Schizosaccharomyces pombe: one gene and its partners. The gene in region 4 interacts genetically with the main gene of each other region. Each region holds a gene or a part of one and is shown on either strand. Other genes may lie near its edges.

Region 1 (5,409 bases), on a different chromosome or scaffold from region 4:
TGGAGGCTATTGACTCCATTGAGCCCCCTGCACGTCCCACTGACAAGCCTCTTCGTCTCCCCCTTCAAGATGTTTACAAGATCGGTGGTATTGGTACAGTTCCCGTCGGTCGTGTTGAGACTGGTGTTATCAAGCCCGGTATGATTGTCACCTTCGCTCCCGCTGGTGTCACTACCGAAGTCAAGTCTGTTGAGATGCACCACGAGTCTCTCGACGCTGGTCTTCCCGGTGACAACGTTGGTTTCAACGTTAAGAACGTTTCCGTCAAGGATATTCGCCGTGGTAACGTCTGTGGTGACTCCAAGAACGATCCTCCCATGGGTTGTGCTAGCTTCACCGCTCAAGTCATCATTCTTAACCACCCCGGTCAAATCTCTGCTGGTTACTCTCCTGTTTTGGATTGCCACACTGCTCACATTGCTTGCAAGTTCGCTGAGCTCATTGAGAAGATTGACCGTCGTTCCGGTAAGAAGATTGAGGAGTCCCCCAAGTTTGTCAAGTCTGGTGATGCTTGCATTGCTAAGATGGTTCCTTCCAAGCCTATGTGTGTTGAAGCTTTCACTGACTACGCTCCTCTTGGTCGTTTCGCTGTCCGTGACATGCGTCAAACCGTCGCTGTCGGTGTCATCAAGGCCGTTGAGAAGGTTGCCCCTGGTGCCGCTAAGGTCACTAAGGCCGCTGTTAAGGCTGGCGCCAAGAAGTAAACATTTTTTACTTCGGATTTAAGTAGATCTTGAGTTGTTGTAATCAGGATAGGCTAGTGAATGTTATATTGTTGATTAATATAATTTGGTATACTACTCAGTAATTAAATTTACTTATAACTTAGGAATTGAAATTTAAATTGCATGGTTAAATATAGATTTGCAACGATAATTCTTTTTTTCATTTTTTAAGTGCAAAATATGTATATGTAGAACTAAGTGCGTACATATGGAGGACTTTGAATAGGTGTCGGAGACATAGCACGATTAAGATTCAACATATCAAGCAGAGGTACACGGTTGCTCGTTTGTCTTGTAAGATTTATTTCCGACGGAGAACGTACGACAGTACTAGCAGTGTGTGGCCTTGATAGAGCCTGTTTCAATGTGCTAACCATTTCTCCACGTTGTGATTGCTGGTGAATAGAAACGAGCGACTTGGTAGCATGAAGTAAAGGATTTTGTTGGTAATCCGAAGCCGGTGATATAAATGGAAGTGAATATTCTGAAGAAGAAGTAAAAGACTTTTCGCGAGACGGTTTCTTTAATTTTTGAATAATATCGGTGTACTTGGGGTGTCGCGATTGCTCAGCAAATAGTAGTCTAGAGTCCTCTGGGAATACTTTCGGGCTTTTCTCCAATAATTCATTTACAACCATGTCCAAAGGCAACATGACTTCCTCGGTAGAGGCATTTGTTAGTTTCTCCCAAGAATGCGTAGAAGAACCTCTGTTCAAGAGACTCGAAGGTAATGAGCTAGATAATGAATCAAGCCACTTTCGTCCACTTGACTGAAGAGTTGTGATCTTCAAATTCTCTCCAATATAGATGATATAATAAGCAGTAACCGCCTCGGCAATACAGCGAGGAGGATCATTTTCAAAGGGTCGTAGTCCGCGATACATAGCAGGTAATACCGCTGTTACAGAAACTGGACCATAAAGCTGGTAAAGCCTTTGGATGATGAGTTTTAGAATATAAAATTCAGACTGCACCGAAAACACCTTGAGCCAACGTTCAATATGCCAACTGGTTTCATATATAAAATCCCATAATACAGAAAATGATGTGATTGCACTTTTCCGTAAAATAGTATCGAAATTTATTAAAGATGGACGGAGAAAGCACAAAAATTCGTAGAACACCTCAGCAGTTTTTATTCGTACAAAAGGTGACTGGGAAGTGTGAAGACGTTCAGCGGATTTGGGCCAGCTATGCAACAAAAAGTCGGTAACTAAAGAGAGAGGAGCACTGGATTCTTTTTTTGTATTTAGCTTTTCATTTTGCAGCTTATGAAAAGCTGTTAAAGCTACCATTTGTATAGCAGAAGAAGTTTCAGAATTAGCAAGAGTGTCGATTTCTCGCCATACATCAGCAAATTCTTCATCGTAATATTGATGCTTAGTTAAACAGGTGATACAAACCAAAAGTAAATAAAGGCGCCTAGGGAGCTTTTCCGATGGAGATTCACACATATTATACCAAGTTTGGTCATCAGCATCGAATGAATTGACAGCGTTGATAAGATGCGACCCCAAATCACGTAACACGTCAATAACGGATAAGCCAGAAATTGAGTTTTTCGAGTTAAGAATGGAGTAAATCATGTATGGCACCATCACATTAGTTTCAGAGTTGACAATACGAGAACTTGATAAACAACGAAGACAACAGAAAAAGATCGAATGTCGAAGTTCAACAGGAGTCCAATCCAAAATTTGGTTAAGCACGACAGATATGTATTCTAGATTTACCGGAGTGTCGGATTTTGCTGCAAAAAAATGTATCAAGGACTTCGTACTTTCGGCCATAAACAGAGGATCTGTCTGAGTATATATGTTGAACAAAATTCTAATACATAACTTCTTAATGGCAACATCTATATTATCACCCGCTTCATCATGCTCGGGTAATGAAACACCAGTACTACTAGGAGGCAATGGCTTATATGATTTAGCCGTGGAACGAACCAAATCAATAAATGACTTCTTCTCCTGATCTGATTCACTCCAAGAATTAATCAAAACGCAATGTATAGCAAAATGAGGTTGATAACGCATTCCGCCTTCAGTTCCAGCAAACTTGCATGCGGTTAAAGCATGGAATGCTTTCAGGCCAAGCATTTTCGACTGCTGAGGATCAACACAATCAATACCTTTTGATAATTCAAAAAATGAATTGACTAAGTTATTAAAAGCAGAATGGAATTCGTTGCCAAAAGTGGCAGGACTCCCCTTTCCACTATTATCGCAAAACGTAGCAAAACAATCAACGCAGGCAGACAAAACTTCTAAATTTTTTGACGAACTAGCAACAAGGAGCATATTTACAACTTCGGAGGCCATCACGTTGATGTTATCCCGACATTTTTGAACCAATGTTTTGCATATTTTCAATCCGATAATAACCTCACTAAAAACATTTAGAAATAGAGCCTAAAACAGGAACTTACTTATCACGTTTATGATAATAGCTATGACGAACACGACTCCCTAAAAAATGAGCCACTTTTCTCAGTTTACTCGAATTGGATGCAGCATAATAACTTAGGTATGCTAGAGGTGACCCATTCGGTTCCGTTTCTCCTAGTTTCCCCGAAGGAAAACATCGAAGGACTAACTTCTTATGCTTAGAACGAAATAGTAACCACATAGGACCTAAAAAACTGGCTATCACATGGACAGCAATTTTAGTTGGTTAACGGATACTTCTGAGTAGTACGATGATCAAAATCAATATATAGCTTCACGTATTAAAAATGACGTATTAAGGTAACTTTAAACGAGTCGCTTGTGTAAGCTTATTTTGAGTAAATGTGTCTACCGGTATCCTCTAAACACAAAAAATAGAAAAGTGATCCGTATAATTCAGTTAATTATTTAGTGCAAACTGCTATCTTAAGTGGAACACGCCACCAAAAATAACTGATCTGAAGATTAATGAGTTTACAGACATATGTAAATGATCTTGTTATTGAGAAATGACTCATGAGCCATAAATAAAGCGTTTACTGCGAAAACAACTTTCGAATATTTAAATGACTTTATCAAAGGTTATAGAACATGCCTTATATCCTTATTCCTGCTTACCTTTCCTGAAAGTTTTTCTTACCGAACATGCTCATATTCTCTAAAACTTAAACATTCCCTATATCTTTAAATCTCTTTTATGAATTAAGAAGCCAGATTTTGATGCCAATAGACATTATTAAAGATATCCATTTGCAAACGAACATTTGAACTGGTTTAAAACAAGGGATGTCGGTTATCACTTACTAAGCAACAATCTATTGAAATATATTGAATAAAACAACAATAATTTACATACCCAACAGCACTTAACGTAGCTATTATTGCGCTTCCTGCCGTCAATACTAACGATATCAACAAGATTACTTAAGTATTATTAATTCTAAACAAAAGTAATATTTAATAAACATAGGAAGGAAAATTATAAGCTTGCAAAGCAAGCAAAGTATTATAAGACAGAAACGGAACAAAGTCACTTAGTAAATAAAATCGTTTTTTCAAACAGCCAATTGTAGTAGTAAATGTATACAAGAAACAAAGAATGCTCAATCTACCTACAACGATTGATCGTAAGCTCCTGTTAAAGCTCCGAAAACATAACCTGAGTAAACACCTTTATTGACAAAATAATTGCATGATAGTATGAGCAACCCGACTTTTGCTTTATTTTAAAGCATAATCTCCAATGGATTTTCCAAGATCTTTTTTAGGGCGGTGGTAAATCGAGCAGCCATAGCACCATCAACAACACGATGATCGGAACTAAGAGTGCATTTCATTATGGGGGCAACCTTAAAGCCCTTTTCAGAGGTTGAATCAGGAACAACTGTATCAACAGTGGTTCCCACAGCAAGGATACAGGCTTGAGGAGGATTGATGATAGCAGTGAATTGATCAACAGGGAACATACCCAAATTAGAGATGGTGAATGTGCCTCCTTGATATTCCTCAGGCTTCAATTTGTTGTTACGGGCACGTTGGCCATAATCCTTAGCTAAAGTGGAAATTTCTGCAAGACCGAGTGCATGAGTATTGCGAATTACAGGAGTGATTAAACCAGAAGGTGTAGCAACAGCCATAGAAATATCGACGTTCTTATATTGACGAATAAAGTCACCCATCCAAGCCGCATTAACTTCGGGAACTTGCCTCAAAGCAGCAGTAGTAGCTTTGATAACAAGGTCGTTAACCGAAAGCTTATAGCGTCCATCAGCCATGGCGTTGAGGGCAGCACGGAGGCGAATGATTTTTTCCATGTTAACCGAGACCGTAACGTAGTAATGAGGGTTCATGTTTTTACTTTCTGCAAGACGAGAAGCAATGATCTTACGCATGTTGCTTAAAGGAAGATCTTCATAGTCACCAGGTGCTGCTGCGTCGGCAGCGGAGGCAGCAGGAGTTGTAGCTTTAGCAGCAGCCTCATTTGAAGGTTTAGGTGCGACCACAGGTTTAAAGTTTTCAATATCGACCTTAATAATACGTCCATTGGGACCTGAGCCGCGAATTTGGGATAAGTCAAGATCCTTCTCTTCGGCCAACTTGCGAGCCAGAGGTGAAGCAAAAACGCGATCACCGCGTTCTTCGCCAGAAACATTAGATGGGCTAGAGGTCTCTTTTGATTGTTTCTCGCTAGAAGGAGCCGACTTTTCTTCACCGCTCTTAGCTGAGGGTTCCTT
Region 2 (4,470 bases), on a different chromosome or scaffold from region 4:
TGCACGAACCATCTAAGGTTAAAAACAAGCTACTAAACAGTAGCCTGTTTATCGAGCCTCTTCATGGTGAAATCATTAGCCGTTACAGCAAAGCTCATCTTTTTGATGTTGAAATTAAAAATGGACCAACTTTAAAAGAGTCGAATACTACACTTCGTGGTGAAGCTATTCTCCCACCTTGTAAAACCCCTCTAGGCAAAGTTGGTTCTGCAATTTGTTTTGACATCCGCTTCCCAGAACAAGCTATAAAGCTTAGAAACATGGGTGCTCACATTATCACATACCCTAGTGCTTTTACTGAAAAGACCGGAGCTGCTCATTGGGAAGTGCTGTTGAGAGCTCGCGCTTTGGACTCTCAGTGTTATGTTATAGCTCCTGCGCAAGGTGGAAAGCATAACGAGAAGCGTGCTAGTTATGGTCATTCCATGGTATGTCGTCTTCAAGTTTCACCTGTCTGTTTAAGAATTCTTGCTAATTAAAATTTTTAGATTGTTGACCCTTGGGGTATGTCATTTTGACAATTTTATTAGGTAAAATAACTTGAAATTCTAATGCATCTAGGTACTGTTATTGCTCAATACAGTGATATCTCTTCTCCGAATGGCCTCATTTTTGCTGACCTTGATTTGAATCTTGTTGACCATGTACGAACTTATATTCCACTATTACGTAGAAACGATTTATACCCGACCATTTAGCACTGTTATACAAACTGAGGTGATTTCAATTTAAATTAAAGAGAAAATTTTTTTTCGGCTTGTTTACGAAGTATTCATTATTACTTACGGATTTGCAAGATTAAAGCCTGAATACTATGAAAATAAATTTGCGACAATTAAATAATTCCATAAAACCGTAAATTACTGAGCGCTCGATATAGTAAACATAATAGAATCGAAGTGGAATGCAAAAAGTAAGTACTTATTTTATTAATTAATGCATAATTTATATATGTATAACGATTAGGCATCATATAGGAAAAGTGCAATACACAGACAAAAAGAAGAAAAATTAAAAAAAATAAAAAGAAATAGACTTCTTACAATAAAGCATGAAAAATCATTAATGACTGCACCTTCAGAATCACTTTGATTCAAAAGTGTTGTTTTGTGATTAGAAAAAAAGTTAAAATAAAAAACAAAATATAGTCCCTGCGGAAACCCCCCGAACATTCTTTCCCATGCGTGGAAAGAATAACCGTATTATAGTAGTATTTGGAATATAAATTAAAGGACCCTATTCAATTTAGGATCTTGCATGAATTAGTAATATTAAACGATTAAAATACTAAGAATTGGATGTGGACTTTGGAATAAGTTGAGATGCGACAATACCGATGCCTATTACAGTAATGGCCGCAAGCATGTTGCAACCATTGAATATGTTTTCTTGAAGAAAAACAGCAGGAACCTTGGTGCCAGGCTTGTGTTTTTCTTCCTGCAATTCAGCGAGTTGAAGTCGAAATAAAAGCAATCCATTGGATCGAGACATATATTCCCAAGGATCGCCAGTATTACGAAGACAACTGTACGGAGAAATTTGGTATCGGTCCAAGGGTAGAGAAGAAAAGGGTACTGCTGATATAGTTGCACAGGTATTTTTAATTAGTTGATTTACGTTAATAGACGCCGGAAGTTTGCACAAATAGCTATGCAATAAATCAGCACCAGAATTATCCCATAAAAGCTCAATAATGGAAGTACGGTTATCAAGCACAACCTGAGCACACGTGTACACGACGGTAAGAGGATGAGAAGAGATGAAGAAGTCAAATAACCTGCATACCACCGAAATGTCTGAAACATCGTGTGCAAACCAAGTGATTAACCATGAAAGAGCAAAATAACACTGGATATCTGCCTTTATTAAATACTCATAAAGAGTGGGATCGCGAGCCTTGATAACTGCTAAAATTAGCTGCAATTGTTTCACCGTGCCATCAAGGGTAGGAAGCATAAAGTCCCGAAGACGGTAAAATACTAGATGCTCCATTAAAGGGAGAGCATGAGAGAAAGGAAGGGTAAGAAGCAAGATCTGGGCAATATCATGAAGACCTTGATAGTAGCATAGTTCCGGATAATGCTTAAAGACTACACTGAGCAGCTTGGTCAATTGAGAACGGTGTTTACGAAGTAGAAATGGATTCAACTTGTACTGAAAGAATGATCGTTCCGAATCCAAATGAACCTGATTCTGGTCGGCATAAGAAGACTGAGAAGTAGATCTCGAAAGACACTCCATTCGATGTCGACACGATAAACCACAAAGACTGACCCATACAGACTTGCGCAGACTCTTCATGAGGAAGCCATGTCCTTCTTTGCCAATGTGGGAAAGTGTTTCGACATCAGAGTTCAATAATGCAATTTTGATTTCATTTTTTAGTTGTTTTATCTCCTTCTTCTTCATCTCATGAGCGAAATCGCCACTTCCCTTAAGGGAGAAATATTTGAAGAAGAATATTTTTGAAATTTTGAACTGAAAACTAAATCACACTTTGCTTAGGAATCCTGAAATCCTTTAATCTCAGGCCTTTACTTTTTCATAAATAGCTAAATTTTTCTTTAATAAAATATCTCGTTTGGCATCTAAAACACCGTTTTATAAAGGATCAAAAAAGTTGGGCGCAGTTAGTGGTCTGTGGGTTGATGTACGTACCCACTTAAATGGGAAAAAAAAAATCAGAAGATGAAAAGGAACACAATGAACAACTGCGCCGAACACCCTCTCGACAACCTTAATAAAAGAAGATCTTTAACAACTTTAAAAAGAAAGAAAGAAAGTAAATTTAAAATTTTATAAAAATTCTTAAACGAAGCATTTTTACGGTTTTTTTTTTTTTTTCGAATATCGTTAGTATTATTACTATACCATCTCCTTATGAAATTTTTTTTTGCTAGTTAATATATGATGGCGAAGTAAAGTAGAAGGGCTTTTATAAATAGCTGTAAAGTTCAACAGCATGTGTGTCAACTCATAAGGAGAGACTTCCATCAAATCAAACAAGAAGAACTTTCTTTATTTCTTCTCTTTTCTTCTTTTCTTTTTTTCAAATTAAGGAAAGAATATCAGTATGCACTGCCGAAATCGTTATGTTACTATTAGATGGTGGATTGTACAAATAATAAAATTAATATCCGTATGAATATTTGACAAATGAAACAGTTCCCTGCTGTAGATCCTGCGGGTTTGTTTAGCTGTCATTGTAAAACGATTGCGGATAAATCTTCTTTACTTTCCCACCAAATAATGCTATATCCAAAGTATCAAAAGTTTTGTGCGGGTAAGTCGTTAAAATAACACCATTCCTCCAAAAAAATAAATAAATATAATATAAAAAATAAAACGAACCCCTTCAAACGAGGGAGAATACTCTCCTGAAGATGAACGAATTTTGAAAAATTTTTCTTATTTTTTAATTAAAATCTATTTAATGGTATTTGCTGAAAACTCGATTTGACCCCAAGCAAATGTTGAGACATTCATGTAAAAGAAATTATTACGAAAAAGAAAAAAATAAGCGATGACTTAAAACCATCAGTAATGAATCCACATGTTAAAGTAGCGAATACTTAAGCTTGATAAAAAGAATACCTAATTCTAATATAATCCTAGTAGGAAATATTAATATAAATTTTTGAGGTGGCTCTTTTATTGAAGTATCGCTTCATTTTGTATTAGTTAAAATAGGCAATACATCAATCTATTTAGCTTTTAGATTAAAACTACATATTGTTATATTTCAAAAATCCGTGCTTAATTCAGTTGGGCTTACTATAATATTAAACAGATAGTTTCTGGATTTATTTTGAGTGGAATGGCTTGTTTCAGATAGAAAGGATATGATTTGAGAAGTGTGAAGTTAAGAATTTACTGCTTTTGTCTTAAAAAGCATACTCAAACTTGCTGAAACATATTTAGGTCTGTATTCATGATGAATCTTAGTTTTCCCAATTTATTTCTCATCATCTACCAGCTAAACCCAGCAATCTGAGTGAAAAGGTATCTTCATTAAAAACCTATAATCGTGAAAATCATATTGGAATGTTCTAACATTTATCAAACAACATCCTTTCTGTTTACAGCGAGGTTTCTTGTGTTGATTTTGCTACTTTAGATAAGTCAGATCAAGGTAACATATTTGTGGGTCAGCGATCTGATAACTACAGATGGCTGGTATTCGAATTTTCGTTTGGATTAGCAAATTTGCTGCTTAGACCTATCTTTCCTCTTACCGCCTCTCCGTATACATTGTACATCCCATCTTTCATCGAAAGCTTTTGAGTATATAGACAGGCAAAGAGCTTTGAATGAGTTCCGCTGAACTCGGAAAGCTACATATTTATGCCTCTCCTGAACAATGGGAGAAGTGGAGTCCCCGTTGGAAAAGTATCGTTTTTCGAACGCAATATGAATCGATTTTCAAAAATCCGAAACACCATGGGGAGAAAAAACCTTTTCATTGCCTCT
Region 3 (4,310 bases), on a different chromosome or scaffold from region 4:
CCGTCCCATCTTCACTGCAAACTAGAAAAGTATGACCATTGTCACAAGGGACGATGTTTTTAACAGAATCAAGAGCACAACTCCAACATCTAGTTTGAGTCTCCATGCCGTGATCCATTCCTCCTTCTTTACTTGAATCTAAATCAAACAACTTAATAAGCTTATCACCACTAGCAGACAATATTTGCCGGTTATTAGAATATGGGACAAATTTCGCACTGAAGATATTTTGAACATGGCCAGTAGATATTAAATGCCGTGGCTTGTATTCATTGAAAACATCCCAGACAATTAGTCTTGTATCATCACTTCCTGATAACAAGAATTCACCGTCCGCGGACCAGCTGAAAATTGTAAGCATTGTAGAACAAATTGTTATAAAACACTTACTCTAGTGTATTAACACATCCCGTATGACCAGTTAATTCTTTCTGCAAATCTATACCGGTCAACCAAGTCGAATTGCCGTAGATATCTCGACTGACTAATAAACTAGTTAGCATCATTCAAAAACAAAACAAGAGCATACTTTTTCGCTGAAACCAATCTCTATAATCCAATTGACGCAAGGATAGTGATATCCCAGACATGAGAGTCAATTCAGCGATTAACAAGCGTTGGTGGAAGACAAGCTCAATTCAAGTGGATGTCGGTAATGTAGCCACGATGAGTTAATACCATAAATCGTAACTGCAAACTCGAATCTTAGAGTATAAGCCTTAAACTCAAACTCCTATGTTTTTTTTAAAATTTAAAAAAAAAACTTGAAGCGCCTCTGTAATTTACTGAAGTAGAAACACTTCAACATGTGAGTTTATTTCGATGATCGAAAGGAGGATCTAATTGCACAAATAATCATTTTATTTTACACTAATATAATATTTACAAAATATCAAAAAACATTTTCATATACAATTGTCAGTTGTTCGAAAAAGGGGTCACTTCGTCGGCTATTATCCATTTCAGACCAGGAGAACGAAATTGACTGTTGTCCTTGCAGAAAGGAATTTATACCTTGTTGAAAATTTATCCCGTTTGTGTATTCCACAAGCATAGGTTGAAAGTGAGTATGAAACCAACATTGCACACTCGAAGGAAAGTAAAACTGGCCCTTGCGTTCGACTCTGAGCAAAAGGTCTTTCTCCGATGTTTCTAGGTTGCATTGTATCCCCCATATACGTTTTCCTTCTTTTATGCTTACATTATGGGATGATATATCTGAACTCTTCCACAGAGCAACTGGATTTATGTTTCGTCCCTTAGAGAAGGCATGCAATGATAGAATCAAAGATGAATTTTTTTTAATATTCAAACATTTAAAACTTTTAAAAAAAGTGGTACCAGTATTAAATTCCACAGCTTTCAAATAATTCGGGAACTGTTTTAAAATTTCGATATAATAGACGTAACGTATTTGCGATGAAATGGTAAGACCGTGCCCTCGAACCATTCTTTTTTCAGTATATAGTTCAAGACTTTGCTTGGCTGTCAAGCCTCCGAAAGCTACCAAGTAGCTACATATTACAGTTCCTGTACGTCCTTTTCCGGCCTTACAATGAACTACCAATGTCAACAAAGGTTGCGTTTGAAAGAGTGCATCCATATTCATAACAATAGCCCATAAAAAGAGAAGCGGAGGTGGATTATGATCTTGAAATCCATAATTTATGACATTTGGTTTAAATAATTCCAAATGGTAAACTGTTTCTTCGGCACATAAATTCAACAATATCCAGTTGTCTTTCAATTGCGTTGTAAGATATTTAAATACATCCAATTCGTCGTTTCGATATAACTTATGTATTCCAGCAGCCGGTGTAGACATAGCAATTACCTTGGAAGTAATATAAACCATATCTAAGTAAGCAAAGCTACGATTCACTTTTTCTTGTTTGAGGCCTTTTCGACCCCTCGAAACTACTGATCGAAGTATATTCATGGAAAATTACATGTTTAATTAGTTATTTGTAATATACTAGGATAATACTGCAGATGCCGTTGACTGTTGAAATATGAGGTAAGCTGCACTGTTCAGAAGAAAATAAGAGAAATACAATAAAGATTTTAGTAATGAACTTTAAGCGGGTAGGTATCAACCATAGTGACGTGAATAAATAACTAATTTACTTTTAATTATTTATATATTTTGATAGCAATGATTTGATAATCCATTTTATTGAAAAAAACATAAGGGCATAACTTTTCCCTTTAAACGATGCAAAAGTATTACTAGTAAAAAAAAATAATAAAGAAATAAAAAAAAAAAAATGAGAAAAATGAATAAAAAAAGCCAATAAGAAATACAATCGTAAGACATGAACCGTAAATAAGCATTAAAATATTTTGATAAAAATCCTTAAAAACATTTAAGTCCACCAAAAAACAAACAAACCCATGCGATTATTCGAATCCTCTAAAATAAATCCAAAACGTTTAGGTAAAAAGAAATAAGTGGTAGAAGTATATAACGTTAGACATATGCAATTAATCATACATTAAAAATAAATCGTGAGGCATACACATTAGCGAAGATCACCAGTTATTGAAGATTAACTGGATAGAGGACTTTGTAAAGTAATTAACGAGAGTGAGTAAGTAGCGGAAGTATCAGCAAATATAAGTACACTAACCTCTTGGCCTGGACGGATGGTTTGAACAACCTCAGGCTCTTTCATACGTAAACTATGAAGTTTTCCATCTCCGGAAATATCCTGATTGCCAGAGGAACTTTTAGCTGTTTTACTAGTACTGTCATTGCCTCGAGCCTTTGAATAGAAAGACTCCTGGGACTCAGCAGCGTTAGCTAAATCCCGAACCTGTGCATCCATCATATCGCATATTTGTTTGCACATCCCGTTGGAATCCAAAAATTTTTTCTTAAAGTCATTGAAACAAGGTGTATCAATTTCCAAAGAAGATGAAGCATAAAAGAAAGAAGCATTTGTCCTCCATGATAAATAGAGTTCGTGTTTTTGCTCATTAAAGTCGCAGTTACTAAGCGGTAGCAGATCCAAGGAGATCCTTCTTTCCAAGCCAAATTCGTATATGACTATGTCAATATACTCCTGGTCAACAGCCAAAACAAAAGCCTTATGCTTAACGAGCCCAGATCGTAAATTAATAGAATGGAGAAGTTGACATAAATATGCATGTAGACTTTTTTCCTGGGCATTACGGTAGAAGTTGCTCAGTGTGTTACAAGACTGAGTTATAGAAAGTAAACTTCTGTAGTCTTTGGAAAAGTCTGGTCTGCCATCAAAGGCTTCGCGTAATTGTCTCTGTACACATATATCGATATATCTACGAGTAGGGTGACAAAAATGGGTGTAGTAAGGACAAGAGAACACAAAATGCGAAACATCCTTAGCATTTGAAGTACCGATAGTGTATTCAGATTCATTACACATTCTTCTTAGAGTCAATTGTAGTAACATTTTGGTTCTCTTATCCTTGGTAGTTGCAATTTCGGTCATGATTTCCGAAGGAGTAGATGAAGCAGATAAATTCACTCCGGTTAACTCAGAAACTGCAACAAGAGATGCAAAGTCAGAAGGTCTTTGATTTTTTCGCAAAATCACTTTACTGGGAAAAACAGACATTAAATGAGATGCAACTTTCTCGTTTACCCAATGTTCAATTTGTTGTAAAGAACATGCAATAGGGAATGCCTCAAAAATACTCATGTTAATATTCTGTATATTAGGAATCTGCCCATCGCAAAATTCAAAGCAGTATAAGGATTGTAAGTCAAGTTTCTTATCTGTTTTCAATCTTAGTTTGGTAAGGACATGGGCCGATGCATCAACTAGCTGAAGCGCTTCGTTGGTTTGCAAGTTTGCTTGTGCACTTTCTAAACTAATAAAACTTGACGGGTGGATTACAGAGGGCCCAAGGGAACACTGTAAAACAGCGCCGCTTTTCAAATCAAGCTGTACAACTATACTAATTGTTAAACAATCATGTCCCTCTATAAGGGAAATCTCTTCTGAGACCTTTTTCGGTAAAAAGGGTACGGAACCTTGCAACAATTGTACTTCTGATACTCTATTGGCAGCTTCATCATCAAGAGGCATATCTTGCTTAACGTAATACGCGACGTCTGCAACGTGTATTCCAAGTGTGATGACTCCGTCGATGGAGCCTGTATCAATATGGAGAGCATAATCACGCGTTCCAATCATGAAGGTTAACTTATCTCGTAAATTGTATCGCTTTTGTAGCTCTTCTGCAGGGATAGGCGTAGGTAATCTTTTAACACAATGAGAAAGGGATTCAGGGAAGTCATATGTGTGGCAACTGAAATCGTGAAG
Region 4 (5,038 bases):
CCTTCCAGTATCAACAAAGGAGGAATTGTCAAACAGATTTTAAGTTCGTATCCAGAAGATTCACTTCCTTCTTTTATCTTTTGTGCAGGTGATGATAGAACTGATGAAGATATGTTCCGCTCTTTGCATAAAAACACTCGTATTAACAAGGAAACTTCATTTGCAGTTACCATTGGATCCGACAAAAAGCTTTCTATCGCCGACTGGTGTATCGCAGACCCTGCAAATGTTATTGATATCCTTGCTGATTTGGCAAATTTTACTAACTGAATGACAAACTAACTATTTCAACGAAGATGCCCGATTCATCTTGTTCTTTACAAAGATTTATTTATTGAGACACACAATCCTGGATCTTAGTTCAGCCTTTAAATTAATTTATGCTCTAGTTATTTATGTTTAGTTGAGAGGTCTTCGTAATTGAACTACTTCCACTACTATGAATCGCTCTTTTCTAAGTACATACGTTTACTCGTTACAAAAGCATACTTTCTTCCTAATGAATTTTAAGTTATATCATAATAATATAGCTTTTTGACAAAGATTGGTGAGGAACTGACGAACATAAGTTATTTGAGATGTAAATAATAAAAGCGCTAATTAGAGCAATAAGTTATAGGTTGTGCATCCGTTAATGCACTTCGGCATACATGCTTTGCTTTGTTTTTTCTCTAAAATAAAAAGATAAATTAGCCAATATATACAAGAATAAAAAGGTGGTAAAGCATTATAAATAAATGCATTAAACTTGAAATATGTGCACTTCAAAGACATTAAAATTTATTAAGATGAAGAAGTGTTCGTAGTAACATTGCGGCATGGGAATGGAAATCGGTGTTCTGTTTTGGGTGATTTATGAGCAGAAGTGCTTTTAGCATTGCGAGAAGAAGGAGCTGTATTATTATTAAGAGAACCATGCTTGTTATTAGTGCGCACATTGCCAGCATTAACGCTTTGCTGTTTGTTAACACGCTGGCCATCCTGCGGTTTTAAGGGGAATGGTTTCAAAACTAAAAGAGTTGGCTTAATACTTGACTCTACAAATTTGTAGAAGCGTGAAGCGTATTCAGCAGGTGGAACAGCAGAAATGACAGAATCTGAATGATTAATGCCCTTCCATAAATGCTCAACGCGCTTAACATATGAATACTAAACACCGGTAAGTATAATGAAAATAAAAGCAAACAAGGAAAACAAGTAAAAGACTTTGCATTCCCATAAAAAAATTTACGCAATTTATCATACCTTAGTAAGTAAGTCAATTATTCCGATATAAAAGATAAAGTTTCCTGGCTCATTGTTTTCATCGGTGGCTTGGAATCCACCGTCATCACTGTAGAACATGAAGTTTCTTCTCCTAAAATAGTGTTAAAAAATAGTCTAATTGTTAAAAAAATAATAAGCACTTACTCAACGAACTGGTCGGTCGGCAATAGATTACAAGATTGATCCAACGAAACAGGACCGGTGCTATTAACGACTTGTCTGATTACATGAACGTTTGAGTGAGATTCATTGCCATTAATCGAGGGCACTCGATGTTGCGACACATTTGGGTCGTAAACTGACAGAATGCTATTACGAATTTTGTCACGATTACCACGTGAAAGGTCATGGATGCCGACAAGTAAACTGTAATCCATAATTCCTAAAGAGGACAGCATATCAATATCGGCTTTGACCTGAGTTAAGAATATCTGACGCTTTAAAGGACCAAACTGAAGATGCATATTTCTGCGAATCCAATTTGTATCTTTCATTGTACACATGGGACTTTGACAAGGTTGATTTTCGTCGAGTTCCCTTCCTAGGGTGGATCCTTTGAGATCAAAAGTTTGGTGGATATCACGATGAGGTGGGAAAAGGTTGTTCATTACAACAAAATGGATTTTTCGGCCAAAGGGTAATTTTACCCTATGCAACCCATAAAATTGCGAAATCAATGTGTTCGGATTATTCTTGACGTGTTCGTAGTAATCATAAAGAATTTCACGCAAAAATTTGTGCTCAGAGTGATGGATTGTTTTAATAATGAATCGATAGTCACGAGAAAAATAAAAAAAAGAACCACTTTTCCCAGGAGAATCTAACTCAGACAAAATGTACTTACTGGTAAGAGATACAAGATAATCTGCAGCATCTAAATGAAACAGCTGCCTTAGATGTCTAAATACCCAAGGTGCATAATCTTTGAACTTAAAATCATACTTGGCGGAGGGAGTGAGTTCGTTGCCAGTAATGTCAAAGGTAAACTTGTGACGAGCAGTAAAATCAGCAGGAGTAAGCTCACGGTCCATTTTCGCTTGGCAACGAGAAACACCGACGCGAATTCCAGTAAGCATGTTGTACGCTGTAACATAGTTTTCATGGCCCTCTGAAACTCTAGTTCCAACGAGAACGCACTCATCGTCCAGTTCTTCCCTGCGACGGCGCATGTTAACACGTTTTTGTTTGACTGCTTCAGCCCAGCTAGCAGAGCCAATATCGGGGGGAATGCCATCCAAAAGAGAACCCGAGGTACTGACGTTGGTACCTCGGTCGCCGGATCTCGAGCCAGAAGGTTCAGCGTTGCTAGAATTTTTTTCGGAGTAAGATCGCTTTAGCGGCCGCTTCGCCTTCTGCGAGGAGCTGAGCGTGGAACGATCATTAGGTGGCTGCTGAGATGAGGTTACAGGGTTGGAGGAAGAGCGATCTATGGGGGCGCGAGAAGGTTGAGGAGAGGATAATTGATGCTTTAAATTTTGTAATTGGGGAGAAGAGGAAGAATTGGAGGAAGGAGGCTCGAGGGCACTTACGATGGGAGAATCTCTCAAGATACCATCAGGTACGCCAGTAGCCGTAATTACCGAATCGTTAGAAGAGGAAGAAGGAGAGTGGGCAGTGGGATTTGAGGGGAAATCTTGATTTTCCTTAAATAATGAATCGTTAGGTTCATAAATATGGGTCTCCGACCGAACTTCGATTTTGGGGTTGGTATGAAGAACATCGTGGCGCATCGTACGTTCGAAATCGTTTTTATGGGATATCAAATCCTTTTTTTGAAACGTACCATTTGGAGCAAAAGCATTCCCATTCAAATCGACAGCCTGCTTTTCATCATACGAAGGGATTTCGTTCGTTATAGAATGCGGATTCACTATGCCGTTTGAATCAATTTTCATTAGTGTTTCCTACAAACATATATGAAGAGTTAAAAATTTACTCGCCAATGGACTCCAAACACAATTTTTGATTCCGTTTTTTAACAAACAATTTGAAGACGTCAATTTCGTCGTTTTTCAGTTCCTACAAAAGCAAGTTTTTTCCCAAGTTATTCAAAATGTTTTAATTTACCGAAAAGAGCAGCTTAATTCTCTTTTTTATCAACTCTTTCACCGCAAAACACTTGATACCAGCGAAGTGTTGTTTCTACCAGTTTCTTCCCTAGATATATAAAGTCACCGGAGTTCACCGAATTGTCCGGCACATTCTCCAATAATTCGCACTAATGGCAGTAAATGGATAAAATTATCGCTTTCTGTATGGGAAAGGAGCAATCCCGAATTTACCAAGCCAAAAACTTCTGAAACCCAGTTCCATTATTGCGAATAGTCCATAAGCTTGCGATGTTTGAAGTCGTTGACAACGTCGATTTCGTTGAATGTAAACAAAACGAATCTGCTCAACGTAAACAAAAGCATCGATATGGGTGTGTTGCGTGAAGAGCTGGATGCTGTAAATCCAATTTTATAAAGGCTTACTTTTTAGAACCTCTATTAATCAATTTATAATGATTAAGCTTGCATGGATAAGTACAGCAAATGATTGAGCTATTTTGAAAATCTAAAGATTTGAAATTTCCTTAAAAAAAAAATAAATAATAAAATAAAGTTAAAAAAAATTAAAGTAAGATACACATAACGTATACTTCGTTTATTTCAAACATATCAATTTATTTTTATTTTCCAAAAATATATATATATATATATATTTAACAAAAAGAAAAAGGAAATATCCAATATTCCTTTTCTTCGTTCTCAAGTTTACTTTGAATGTCTATAATATAAAGAAGCTAGCACTGAATATTCAACTTTAAGAATCCATTGAAATTATAATCAAAGGACAGTATCTAATGTTTTTTGTCTTACTAGATAGATAATTGCTTTTCCCATTCCTTCGGGTTTTGTGCACAAGTAAATAAAGAACTTCGGATAGAATCTTAAGAGGCTTGGGTAGTAAAAACATTCAATCAGATGGATCATTTAGTTCTAGCAAATAACAAATTAGAGTAATTTTTGAGATTGAATAAGGAAAAATATCTTGGAAGAAATGATCAATCGCCTAAAGCATGTTTATTTCGTAAGCTTTTCATGTCTTAAGGCACAAACACCACCGTGATCCAAGGTAATTGGCATAGCGTTATGAAAATGAAGGACTTAAAATGGAGAGTAAAATTTATTCTTTTGTCACGCCAAAGTCGATCTTCCATTCAAATACTTTTTTCATTTGGAAATTTTGCTTACCGCTTTTTTGGATAAAGCAGTTCACTGTTTAAGGGAATAATTTATAACATTAAACAAAATACACTTCTTTAAGGAGTTAAATTCGTCTTCTGTACGATGTTCCAAGAAACATAACAGTAGACAAAGCTATTCGATCCATTCGTTTTTAGATTTCTTTATTAAATGATTTATTTTCTCTTACGGAATGGTATTCATTTTATCTCGTAGACCAACTTACATTGACTTTACCAACTTTTTATACTTTTATCCTTCGTGTATAGATTAGTTTTTTCCATAAAATGAATGAGAAGATTCGTTCACAATCTGTGCTGAATACACTAGAAACGTTTTTCATCAAGGAAAATCATTATGATATGCAGAGAGAAGAATCTTCCATTGTGAACGGTATGAAAGCCAATCTTGAAAATCATTAACCAATTAGCCTGCTTACGATATTTGGGTTATTCGAAATCAATGTGTCATGAAAAAATGCCGATATTCATGGATATCGCATTCATTGAGTATTGCTTCAATCTTTCGCTTGACCCTTCTTCATT

The links.
Region 1: mutations in its3 (region 4) and efr3 are lethal when combined (synthetic lethality), as found in Schizosaccharomyces pombe (one study listed by BioGRID).
Region 2: of its3 (region 4) and gyp10, a mutation in one rescues a mutant of the other (synthetic rescue), as found in Schizosaccharomyces pombe (2 studies listed by BioGRID, with this or other methods).
Region 3: of its3 (region 4) and ptn1, changing one enhances a phenotype caused by changing the other (phenotypic enhancement), as found in Schizosaccharomyces pombe (one study listed by BioGRID).

Annotation. Positions count from the first base shown.
Region 1 is NC_003421.2:263,392-268,800, reverse strand, and holds efr3 (protein efr3), read right to left. Parts: upstream 3,414-5,409; 5' UTR 3,357-3,413; coding exon 3,157-3,356; intron 3,117-3,156; coding exon 920-3,116; 3' UTR 795-919; downstream 1-794. Other genes in the region: tef101 (translation elongation factor EF-1 alpha Ef1a-a), read left to right, coding at 1-704; dihydrolipoamide S-acetyltransferase E2 Lat1, read right to left, coding at 4,402-5,409.
Region 2 is NC_003423.3:1,240,537-1,245,006, forward strand, and holds gyp10 (GTPase-activating protein Gyp10), read right to left. Parts: upstream 2,636-4,470; 5' UTR 2,410-2,635; coding exon 1,288-2,409; 3' UTR 895-1,287; downstream 1-894. Other genes in the region: nit1 (nitrilase superfamily protein), read left to right, coding at 1-428, 489-504, 562-698; SPOM_SPBC651.04 (uncharacterized protein), read left to right, coding at 4,311-4,470. UniProt on the Schizosaccharomyces pombe protein: Has a role in vesicular trafficking and septation during cytokinesis.
Region 3 is NC_003423.3:3,159,452-3,163,761, reverse strand, and holds ptn1 (phosphatidylinositol-3,4,5-trisphosphate3-phosphatase Ptn1), read right to left. Parts: upstream 2,034-4,310; 5' UTR 1,940-2,033; coding exon 893-1,939; 3' UTR 821-892; downstream 1-820. Other genes in the region: iqw1 (WD repeat-containing protein), read right to left, coding at 1-344, 391-484, 530-590; SPOM_SPBC609.01 (Dis3-like exonuclease family protein), read right to left, coding at 2,550-4,310. UniProt on the Schizosaccharomyces pombe protein: Acts as a phosphoinositide 3-phosphatase and regulates PtdIns(3,4,5)P3 levels.
Region 4 is NC_003424.3:4,070,499-4,075,536, reverse strand, and holds its3 (1-phosphatidylinositol-4-phosphate 5-kinase Its3), read right to left. Parts: upstream 3,402-5,038; 5' UTR 3,162-3,401; coding exon 1,411-3,161; exon of another isoform or gene 1,358-1,410; coding exon 1,246-1,357; exon of another isoform or gene 1,243-1,245; intron 1,150-1,242; coding exon 784-1,149; 3' UTR 501-783; downstream 1-500. Other genes in the region: trehalose-6-phosphate phosphatase Tpp1, read left to right, coding at 1-270; protein Poz1, read left to right, coding at 4,781-4,886, 4,924-5,038. UniProt on the Schizosaccharomyces pombe protein: Catalyzes the phosphorylation of phosphatidylinositol 4-phosphate on the fifth hydroxyl of the myo-inositol ring, to form phosphatidylinositol 4,5-bisphosphate. Involved, together with the calcineurin ppb1, in cytokinesis.